3 linked regions of the Styela clava genome follow. Each later gene encodes a partner of the first gene's protein in a complex. Links are inferred from orthologs where the notes say so. Each region holds a gene or a part of one and is shown in the gene's direction. Other genes may lie near its edges. The genes, in order: eukaryotic translation initiation factor 3 subunit A-like, eukaryotic translation initiation factor 3 subunit J-like and eukaryotic translation initiation factor 3 subunit E-like.

Region 1 (3,755 bases):
GCAGAGGAGTCACCACTTCCACTCCTATTTGGAGTATTGAAATACAGAAATAGTCTACTCAGCTACCAACTTTAAATTCATATGGCAGTGTCACATGAAATGAATTCTACCTTATCTAGACCAGGGGTGTGCAACATTTTTTTGTCGGTGGGCCGTATATCCAACTTCAAACATCTTGCTGGTCTACATACCGCTGTATAGTGATGAAGACACTGCGTAAAATAGCGAAAAGAAAACCATTGTGTATTTTTACCCATGTTTTTAAACATAAACTGTCGATTAGGACTGGGAAAAAATGTGAATGTTGACAAGGGCCGCCTGTTGTAGACCCCTGATGGGGGCCACAAAATTATTTTTGCATTATTCACGCGCCACAATATTGCCTAGAATAGATGAACAGCGTGATATGGAACAAACACTTTTATTGTGCAAACACATTCGATCATTATTTTTCATCGATCAATCTTCCTATATGAACATTTAGTATTAGATTTTATTTTCTTCATAATGGAGAAAGACTTTTTGCAAATATAAGTGCTTTCGAACACAGATAAGATGCTGAAAGCAAAATCCCCTTGGAAAATAGTCATTGCTCACAAGATTTCAAAATGCCATTTTAGATCATATACTTTATATTCAAGCATTGTGGTATTATCCCTCACTTATCTGGTTAAAAATCGTTTTGAATTGGTCAGCTTTATTTTAAAACTCATGTTGACAAATAACTTAATTCAAAATGATCACGGCCGATTGCTGGATTGATTCCTAAATTTGCCAATTGTGAGGTACAGGAGGTAATTACTGAATTTGTTGATGAAACAGCACCAAGAATATTTTCTAATAACAATAGAATTCAAACCACATTACTCGAAATGAAAATTACCAAAGGTGGTACTGCTTTCTAGTTTACATTTTTAATGCATGTCATATGATGTTTATATTTTACAGTTAACAACATCTGATTTAGCATATTTGTCCTTATTAAGTTTTCCGCAGTTTGTCGGAGATGCCAGAGTATTTTCAACGACCTGAAAATGCTCTTAAGAGAGCGCAAGAATTTCTTGAGGTTGGAAAGCTAAAACCAGCCTTAGATGTTCTCAGTGATGTGCTGCGAAGCAAGAAGCATCGAACCTGGCAGAAGATTCATGAGCAAATCATTAGACAATATCTAAACCTTTGTGTGGACCTCCGAAAGAGCCAGGCGGCCAAAGAAGGATTGTATCAGTATAAAATAATTTGCCAGCAAGTCAACATCAACTCTCTTGAAAATGCTGTGAAGAATTATCTCAAGTTAGCTGAAGAGAAGACTGAAGAGGCAAAGGATAAATCAACTGAGACCGCTTTGCAAATGGTTGAAGATCTTGATATGATTGATTCGCCAGAAGGTGTTTTGCTTAGTGCTGTTACTGGTGAGAAAACCCATGATCGAACCAACCGTCTCATGTTGACACCTTGGGTCAAGTTTTTGTGGGAAAGCTATCGCCAATGCTTGGATCTGCTGAGAAATAATAACAGAGTCGAGAAATTGTATCAAGATATTGCTCTAAATGCATTTGAATTCTGTTTGAAGTATGATCGTCGTACAGAATTTCGAAAGCTTTGCGACAATCTTAGAAACCATGTGAAATTGAGTGAGCAGCGTCACCAAACAGCAGTATCTATCAATCTCACCAATGTGGAAAGCCAGTTGTTGCACCTTGGCACAAGGATTGCACAGCTTGATAGTGCTATTAAGATCGAGCTATGGCAAGAAGCATTCAAGGCTGTGGAGGATATCCATTATCTGATGTCACTTTCGAAAAAACCACCAAAGCCCCAAGTTTTGGTGAATTTTCATTCAAAGTTGTCTCTGGTCTTTTGGAAAGCTGGCAACATGCTTTTCCATGCAAGTTCAAGGCACCATTTGTTTCGACTCACCAAAGAGATGAAAAAGAACCCAACTAAGGATGATTTGTCTAGAATGGCTTCTCTCATGCTTGTTTCCACATTAGCTATCCCAATCACTGAGCAGAAACATGGAATTGGTAAAATGCTTGATATGGAAAGTGCTTTGATTGACAAGCACTTAAAGTTGGCAAAGCTTCTTGGGCTCAGCAGACCACCAACTCGTTCAAGCTTGATTGAGGATCTCAAGAAACACAACATATTGCAATACACACCTAAACAGCTGAGAGATCTCTTCCAATGGCTTGAGGTTGATTTCCATCCACTTCGTCTCAGTGCACGTGTTGGACAGTCATTGCAATGGATACGTGAGCAAACAAGAGAACCAGAGCTTGCACAATATATCACTGCTTTGGAGGGAAATGTTGTCTCTCGTGTTCTGCAACAAGTTGCCAATGTCTATCAAACCATTGAGCTATCTCATCTTTTGAGTCTTCTTCCGTTTTGTTCTGCTTTTCAGTTGGAGCGTGCTATTATTGATGCATCTCGCAATGGTCAGATTCAAGTTCGCATTGATCATAGTAAGGGTGCAATCAGGTTTGGCACTGACTTGAATGCTTCTCCACTTTATGTAGAGGATGAATTCTTTGAACCGCAACGCCTGCAACCTCTGCCAAGCGAAAAAATTTCTCAACAATTCAACGAAATGGCTCAATCACTTCATGTTGCTTACAGGAAACTTCAACCACAGGCAGAAGTGGATAAGATGCTCCAGAGGAAAAATGAAATTCTGAACCTCTACACAAAAACTTGGAGGAAAGATCAGCAAAATATATTGCAGAGACGACAAGTTATTGAAATGCGCAAAGAACAGCTTGAAGAATTCAGTAGAGAACGGGAGAAGCAAGAGCAAAAGGCTGCCAAAGAGCAAGAAGAAGCTGTTAAAGCAGCTGAACAAGAACGACTCACGAAGGAAATGAGAGAACGGGAAGAAATGCGTCGCCGCGAGGAAAAGGAAGATGAAGAACGTCGGGTGGCACAGGATCGCCTTGAAATGATTCGAAAGAGTGAACTTGGAGCAAAAATGCTTAAGGACATTGATGTGGACACTTTCACAAAAATTGATCCAGATGAATTAATGAAAAGACAAATGGAAACCATGGAAAGAGAAAAGAAGGATATGCAAGATAGACTGAAAGCTCAAGAGAAGAAAGTGGATTACTTTGAGAGAGCCAAACGTCTTGAAGAGATCCCGCTGATGAAAGAAAAATATGAAAAGAAACGTGAGACTGATGCCATACTATGGGAGGAACTAGAAGCAGAGCGCATTGAAAGAACCAAGGTTGAACAGATCATCACAAATCAAACCAAAGAGAGATTGTCAAGGATGAAAGAGGATCGAAATATATATTTACAGAGTCTGAGAGAATCAAGAAGAGCAATCTTTGATAAAAAGCATTCAGAATTCGAAAAAATGCTTTTCGAAGTTCGCGAAGAACGACTCGCTGAAAGAAAACAAGAGAGAAAAGAGCAACGTCGTCAAAAGTGGCTCAAAGACAAGGCAGAATATGAACAAAGAATACTTGATGAGCAGTTGAAGAGAGAGCGCGAAGAAAAAGAGCGTGCTGAACGTGAAAAACAAGAAGAAGAGACACGTGCATATGAAGAGAAGATGCAAGCACTTAAGATCGCTGAGGAGAAGCGACTGCAAAGAGAACGTGAGATTGAAGCTAAGATTGCTGCCCAACAGAATCCGAATGCCTATAGACCAAGAGGTGAAAGAGATGGCCCACCAGCACGCAGAGATGATGATAGAGGTGCCTGGAGAGGACCTGGCGGTGGGGGTTCACGTTTTAAAGATGATGCACCAG
Region 2 (3,755 bases), on another chromosome or scaffold:
TGATTTTGACACAATATTTCGTTTGGGGCTTCTTATTTCATGTTGCTCTCAAAATAACGATACAGAAAAGTGACTTTTCTATTGGTTTGTTGTTAAAAGGTAAGCATGCAATTTTAAATTCTGTCACATAGTTCTTGTTTCAAGGAGTTGCTATCATTCAAGAATAGATAATTACCCGCAGAATCTTAACTCCGACAATGCTCGAAACTAAACAGACCAAAGTTGTGAGGAGTGGGTGGAAAAATATAATCAGATAAAATGTTTGATAAAAGTAAAGTTCTTTAATGAAATTCCGGTATTAGATGGAAATCTATGAGAAAAGGTTTAAATCCAAGGAATTTGGGATCGGGCTAACCCAATTTAGAACGTCAAGATCAGTAGCTTTTCAGCAACAGGAGATGAGGATTCAGCGAGAAGATTGCTATGTAAATCCTATCCCATCAAACATGGCGAATGATCAAATACTAGTCGCCATAAGGCGCGAGAGAGAAGAAATGGAAATCCGCCCAAGATTTCTCATGTATCTTGCCAGAATTGGAGCCAGCAGTTTACCTTATATCTTGGATTAATTTTAGAATTGTTTTAAAATTTTCGCTTTCCTTATTATATAAATTATTTTGGCATTTTTCATTTATTTAAGAGATAAAATGGTCGACAAATTTAGTATTTAAATTAGTATTTTGTAGAAATAGAGGATCGTTCTAACCAACAGATCTGTCAACCATGAATTACGGTACCAGCTTGCTTGAACATGTGTTGTGTGGATCGGTGTCTGTGAAGAAGGTTTTGGAGGGGTTTGGATTATATCATTGTATCAATGCTCTGTTTCTATTCCTTACTACTGTACTGTACATCATTTATTATTTGTGAATATTGCAACATAGGGTCAGTAGAGTACTTTACAATCACTGAATCAACTTTATTTTTTCTGAAGTCAGCAACTAGATCATTGCATTATTCCAGGTTGTGTTTTATTTAGTCAGTATATTTAGACATTCTGACATTCACACATTGCTTCACTGATCTGACTCTACATCGGGTTTTAGTTTTTATTCCCCGACTCTGTGACTGGAAGTTTTATCACTGAGAACACTTTCTGACTTTGTACAAATCCTGTTGAACGAAGAAAGATATTGCCAATTCTGCAATTAGAATAAAGAATCATGGCTGATTGGGGTTAGATATTGTTCATGCTAATGTTTCTTTTTATTATTGCCTTACAGTATTACCGCACTGACATGTAAAATTGACTTTAATTATTTAAATAATTTCCTAATCAAACAACTACCGTTAAGATATGGTTAAATCATACAAAATTTTTTTTTCTATTTCATCACTTGTTACATGTATGTGAACAAGGATATTTTTTACAATAACAGAAGATGAAGATTTTGAACCTCCAACTATTGACAAACCCGTTGCGCCAGCTACTGATCTGTGGGAGGGAGAAGATGAAGAGGATGACATCAAAGATAACTGGGATGATGAAGAGGAAGAGAAAAAGCCAGAAACACCGAATCAAGGTTTAATATAGCTAGGCTTTCAACTTACAAGACCAAGGCTAATGTTGAAATTTCAAAAATATTTTATTTAAAAATATTACAAAGAAATAAGTACTGTTTTTTAAGCTGGTAATCTAATTATAGTTTGAAACAATGTTCAAAAGTAGTTAAATAAAAAGTTACAGGATATTCAAAATTAAAAATATAGGTTTTTCTCAATTTCTCAAACAGGTTTCCCCCTTTTAGGTTAGAACCCTCGATATTGTAATTGTTTTGCCATTGAGTTCTTTAATATAAAAGCCTTGTTGATTTATTAATTTTTCAGATTTTGGTTGACTTTGTTTTAAATATCATCATATTGACTAGCGGAAGTTTTATAATATGACCAACAAACATGCAAAGCAAACTCATTGAATATACAAAGACTCTCTTCGTTGAAGGCACAGTTTATAGAATCCATATCTGAAAATATTATTTTAGAATGATTCAATTAGTTTTTGCTGTTTCTACTACCAATCAACCAAGACTTTGTTTTGTTTCATTCTTGAATTCTTCCATTTGAAAATATCTATTTACACATTCAATAATTCAAAAAAATTATTATCTGAAAAAAAAAAAATATATATTTTGTTTGAGTGATTGAACAATTTTTTCTGTCCAAGTGATTTCAACTGATATCCTCAAAATTTGGATTTGCTTTCCAGTTTATAGGTTTGATACAAATTATTATTATTGGTGAAATAATTCACTTCATATTTGACTGAAAATTTATATTGAATTCCTGGCCTTGCATGATTTTTTTTTGTTTCTTCATCAGCTGCAGCTGCAGGAGAACCAAAGAAAAGTACAAAAAAGGCACTGTCTAAGAAACTAAAGGAAAAAGAAGAACAAGCAGCTAGAGCAGCAGAGGCAAAAAGGCTGGCAGCACTTGCAGAGAAAACGCCAGAAGAAATTATGGCTGACAAGTTGATGGCTCAAAAGTTATCTGAAGAATCTGATTTTGAAGTTGCTAAAGATACATTCGGTTGGTTTTTTGATTGATATTTGTTAAACATATGTAGAATAAAGCAAAATAACTGATTTTTTGTCATGAATTTCTTCAAATAAGTAGCTTTTATATCGAACACTGTCTTACAAAGAAAACTCTAGGAATAGTAATTTGTGATGGCAATTTCATATCGAAGTCAGTTTTATGGTTATGGTTAATTATGGTTACAATTTGCTTTATTTTTAGGGGAAATCTTTTAGGATGTAAATGGTGATAATGCAGCAACATAAGCGAATGAAGTGTAAAAAAATTTTTTTTTCAGGTGTAACGTCTGCTGATTTGATCACAATAGACAATTGTGATCCAAGAACTAAAGAAGATTTCATAAATTTCGAAAAGTTAATTTCAGAAAAATTCTCAAAATATGAATCGTCTCCGCATTATCAATCCTTCCTTGAAACCTTATTTCGGAATTCTTGCTTAAGTCGTGAGTTGTTTTATTACAGTATTTTTAGTCTCATCTATATAATTAATATTTTTTCCCAAAGTTACTGGCAATCCGTCACATAAACCATCGTATTTAAATGAGACTGGGTAGATGTTTATTAAGGAGCAAACCTTCGGGGGTTCTTCCAAAAATCTGTAACTAGCCTATATTAAAAAGGGTCATCTGTAAATGGACTTTCTATTCGAAATGTCTGTGAAATTTAGTCGAGCAGATTTGGAAATTGGAAACACTTTGGGAATTTTTCCATATGGATCCTTTTAGATTAATCAGTAATTTGATGAATAATAACTAACATGATAATTACTTTAGGGAAACAATAATGGAGACAGCTAGTATGTCCTGACATATTTTTGTTGTCTGACTGATTTTCCTGATCTAAATTGCAATATTTCTAGATAGGACTTGTTACAAATAAAGCATCCAGAGCTGCTTAATATTCAATGCATTTCTCATTCATCTGCTTTTCCTTAGTTGATGCCGAATCTTTGAAGAAACTCATAAGTTCTTTGAATGTTTTACAAAGTGAAAAAGCAAAACAAGAAAGGGTATGTTTTAGATTTTTGACGACTTACAGATTAATTGAAAATATATGTACACACACAAAAATTTGTACCTTAATTATGAAAATCATTTTGTATGGTGTTCAGAAATCCTTTCATTCATGGTTTGAGACTGCGTCTTCACCAAGGGATTCTTGCCATCATGATAGCAAGCATATTCTCAATGCTAAGCTGAATATGCCACAGTGCAGCCAATT
Region 3 (3,755 bases), on another chromosome or scaffold:
ATTAATTATGTAATTAGAGTCATTAGACCAACGCTTAAATAGTTTTTCGCTGTGGGAATTCTGCAAGAAATCGATTTACGGAAACAAAAATACTGCCTATCGGGAAAGAGTGCATAATTTGATGCTAGGCGGTTACAATCAAAGTGACAGACTAATGAATGACTATATTCACTTCGGTTACAATCAAAGTATTTGTGATGTTTCTATGACCCTTGACCCCTTGATCTTGATTTTTGACTACTGCATTATTTATTTGCGTTATTGCTGTCTACAAACAAATGAATATAGGATAAAACAAATAATAATAATGAAAAATCATCCTTATATACCGAATTAGCCATTTGAAGTAGACAAAATATGTCTTTGGCCACAAAGGATGCGTTGACAAGGCATGCTTGAACCCTAGTGACGTCATTCAACACCATCACTCGAACACTCGCGTGGCTATAATACAGGAAAAGGAGAATTTGTGTGCTTTATTTCAGGGGTACCCACCGTATGATTGTTTACTTCTCGTTTAAATGAATAGATCAATATTATAAAATTAGAAGTATCCTAAAGTTCATTTGTACGATCTGCATGCAAGTTGCGTTACTAGTGATTTGCTCAAATTTGAGAAAGTTTAGATGTTTGCAGGCTTGTGAAAATGATTTGGATATTCCGACAGCTGAGATCACGGACTAAAATTAGACATTTCGGAAAAGGGAAATGAGTGTAATTCTTTCTAAAAAGATAATCAATTAGTTAAATTAAAATATAGTCCACTTGAAAAAATCAATTAGGAAACTAAAACGGTTCAATTTTTCTTTATGTTATATAGGTATAGTTATTCCAATTAAATTTAAAATGGCTGAATATGATCTCACATCAAAAATTGGTTGTTATTTGGATCGCCACTTGGTGTTTCCATTATTGGAATTTTTATCTGAACGAGACATATTTGATGAAAGGGATTTGCACAAAGGAAAAATTGATCTTCTGAGCAACACAAACATGGTGGATTTCGCAGTGGATGTTTATAAAACTTTGTATCCTGGCGAGGCAAGTATAGCATCTGATAGCTTTCAATTTGGGTCTAGTGTAGTTTCCAACATGAGTACTTCTAGTGGGTGTAACAATTTTAGCTTATGTCCATCTAACCCACACTTGATTGTGTCATCCAAAAATTATGTCACCACGATGTATTAAGGCCCTTTAAACTATACGAACTGTAATCCAAGATGCGCAGATGTTCTCCGATCACTTGTTTTTTCGCCGCAACGATCTTAGTGAGTTCTTTTTCGTCGGCGCAGATGCCATTTCATCGGTTGGAGGCGTGAAGTGATTGTGACATGATATTGATGTCATTTTTTGGATTGTGTAGTCAAATAGGGGTTGGTATTTGATATACGTACATTTGTGCTCTATTTAATGATGCTCTTATTTTTAAGGAGGCTCCTGCTCATCTAACAGAGAAAAGATTAGAAGTTGTCGGCTTATTAAAATCTCATACTACAAAAACTATGCCTATCGTTGAGATTTTCAATAACCCGGAAGTCAGTAAACAGGTTGGTGCTGCTTATTATTGGATTCAAATGACTGATATTTTATACTAATGCTGATAACAACATACAAATCAATACTTTCTGTCCAGAATATTCATTTAATGTAGAAAATATGAGCATTTTACCATATAGTTCCAGTTCGTGAGTATTTTGCTCTTTTAAAAAGTTTCGGCTAGTACTTGTTTGATGAACAGTTCAACTGAATGATAAAGCTGCATTTCTCAACATTCTCTGATTTTACAGGTCGAAACTGTCAGAGACGGAAAACAACTTTTTGAATATCTGGAAACAAACCATGCATTTAGGCTCGAAGACTTAGATTCTTTATATGATTATGCCAAGTTCCAGTATGAATGTGGTAACTATTCAGGTATGACTATAGAGATTTTAATAGTCAAAGTTGGTTGTTCAATCCATTTGGTACCTGAATTCTATTAATATTATTTTCAGGTGCTGCTGAATACCTATATTTTCATAGAGTTCTTGTAAGTCCGACAGATAAACATGCGATGGATACTTTGTGGGGGAAACTGGCTAGTGAAATATTGATGCAGAATTGGGATACAGCTTGGGAAGATTTGCATAGATTGCGAGAAACAATAGATGCAAACACAATAGCTACTCCTCTGCAGGTTTCACTCATTAGTTATTTGCTAGTTTCACTCATCTTTATATCAATATTATATTTATATGTATATATTGGATAAGATGTTTAATAATAGAGTTGGAAATTTTAGAGTTGGAGGCTATTTTTTCTTAGCATGACCTCATTTATGTAAAAACATGCTCAGAGCTGTGGAAGTCTGGTGGCAGCAAATTCGTCTGCATGTGACAGTTGGGCTCAAAGACCCATAAAATACAGAGCTGATAGTCAAATATATAGATTTATCAATAATATGGATTCTAGTTTTGAGAACATTTTTTGAATATATTTTAAATGTACCTCAAAGTTTAATTTATTAATTTCTGTGGATTTACAGACTTTGGTATTTTAAATTTTAAAACATATGTTTTGTTTCAGCTACTCCAGCAGAGGACATGGCTGATCCATTGGTCTTTGTTTGTATTTTTCAATCATGCTAAGGGCAAAGATGAAATCATTGAACTTTTTCTCTATCAACTACCTTACTTAAATGCTATTCAAACCATGTGTCCCTGGATACTTCGTTATCTCACAACAGCAGTTATCACAAGTAAAAGGAGAAGACAGGTGAGCAATTAATATTTGATTGTAAAGTAATAGGTAGTTTTAGGTAAATAAATAATCTATAATATTTTTGACTTTTTCTAGAAAGCCCCCGCCAAAAAAAAACACTCCCCCTCTGCTCAAATTAAAAAAATTAGTGTCTAGATATTTTTTATTTAATGATGGATTCCAGCACTGAATTTATCGAAGTCGGGGTTATCGACAGCGAATGCTCAATCTGCAGTACTTAAAATGTGGCGGTGGTGTTTTCCAAATCTTACATTTTTGCATTAGTGCAAAAGATCCAACAGTTAGCAGTTAGGTTAAACAAACTTCGTCTTCTAGGTTTTGAAAGATCTTGTTCGTGTAATTCAACAAGAGACCTACACATACCGTGACCCAGTCACTGAATTTATTGAATGTCTTTACATTCATTTTGATTTTGATCGTGCTCAAGAAAAACTGAGGGAATGTGAGACTGTATTGGCAAACGATTTCTTCCTCATTGCTTGTCTTGATGAGTTCATAGAAAATGCAAGATTGTTCATTTTCGAAACATTTTGCCGTATTCATCAGGTATATAATTCATGTTATTTATTATTTGGCTTCCCCATATTAATTGCTCTAACACTATTATTAATGAGTATTAAAAGAGTCTGGCTGTACTGAACAGTGGTGTTTAGAGTAAAATGTAAAGTTTTTAAGAGTTAAGGAGTTTTAACTATTGTCATACTTAAAGACTATTACTAGTTCCTAGCTTATGTGATAAACATGAACTCAATTGATTCTTGAAGTCCCAGTCATTATCTTGTGCTAATATCTGATGGTTGGTTTTTTTCATTTTTTGGATACGTAGAATCAATATAAATTTTTTCTTCCTACGCAGTGCATTAGCATTGATATGCTGGCAGAGAAACTCAACATGAGTTCGGAAGATGCAGAGAGATGGATTGTGAATCTAATCAGAAATGCTCACTTGGATGCTAAAATAGACTCCAAACTGGGCCATGTCATGATGGGAACAC

The links.
Region 2: eukaryotic translation initiation factor 3 subunit A-like (region 1) and eukaryotic translation initiation factor 3 subunit J-like share a complex: the UniProt entries of both Drosophila melanogaster proteins name them as parts of the eukaryotic translation initiation factor 3 (eIF-3) complex. The link is inferred for Styela clava from reciprocal best matches to the Drosophila melanogaster genes eIF3a and eIF3j.
Region 3: eukaryotic translation initiation factor 3 subunit A-like (region 1) and eukaryotic translation initiation factor 3 subunit E-like share a complex: the UniProt entries of both Drosophila melanogaster proteins name them as parts of the eukaryotic translation initiation factor 3 (eIF-3) complex. The link is inferred for Styela clava from reciprocal best matches to the Drosophila melanogaster genes eIF3a and eIF3e.

Annotation. Positions count from the first base shown.
Region 1 is NC_135253.1:8,120,279-8,124,033, forward strand, and holds the start of eukaryotic translation initiation factor 3 subunit A-like, read left to right. Parts: upstream 1-927; 5' UTR 928-1,006; coding exon 1,007-3,755. UniProt on the Drosophila melanogaster protein: RNA-binding component of the eukaryotic translation initiation factor 3 (eIF-3) complex, which is involved in protein synthesis of a specialized repertoire of mRNAs and, together with other initiation factors, stimulates binding of mRNA and methionyl-tRNAi to the 40S ribosome.
Region 2 is NC_135257.1:14,147,502-14,151,256, forward strand, and holds the start of eukaryotic translation initiation factor 3 subunit J-like, read left to right. Parts: upstream 1-905; 5' UTR 906-1,163; coding exon 1,164-1,176; intron 1,177-1,379; coding exon 1,380-1,523; intron 1,524-2,319; coding exon 2,320-2,526; intron 2,527-2,812; coding exon 2,813-2,977; intron 2,978-3,469; coding exon 3,470-3,543; intron 3,544-3,755. UniProt on the Drosophila melanogaster protein: Component of the eukaryotic translation initiation factor 3 (eIF-3) complex, which is involved in protein synthesis of a specialized repertoire of mRNAs and, together with other initiation factors, stimulates binding of mRNA and methionyl-tRNAi to the 40S ribosome.
Region 3 is NC_135257.1:13,248,695-13,252,449, reverse strand, and holds the start of eukaryotic translation initiation factor 3 subunit E-like, read left to right. Parts: upstream 1-819; 5' UTR 820-846; coding exon 847-1,041; intron 1,042-1,430; coding exon 1,431-1,547; intron 1,548-1,787; coding exon 1,788-1,914; intron 1,915-1,994; coding exon 1,995-2,176; intron 2,177-2,565; coding exon 2,566-2,754; intron 2,755-3,075; coding exon 3,076-3,306; intron 3,307-3,616; coding exon 3,617-3,755. UniProt on the Drosophila melanogaster protein: Component of the eukaryotic translation initiation factor 3 (eIF-3) complex, which is involved in protein synthesis of a specialized repertoire of mRNAs and, together with other initiation factors, stimulates binding of mRNA and methionyl-tRNAi to the 40S ribosome.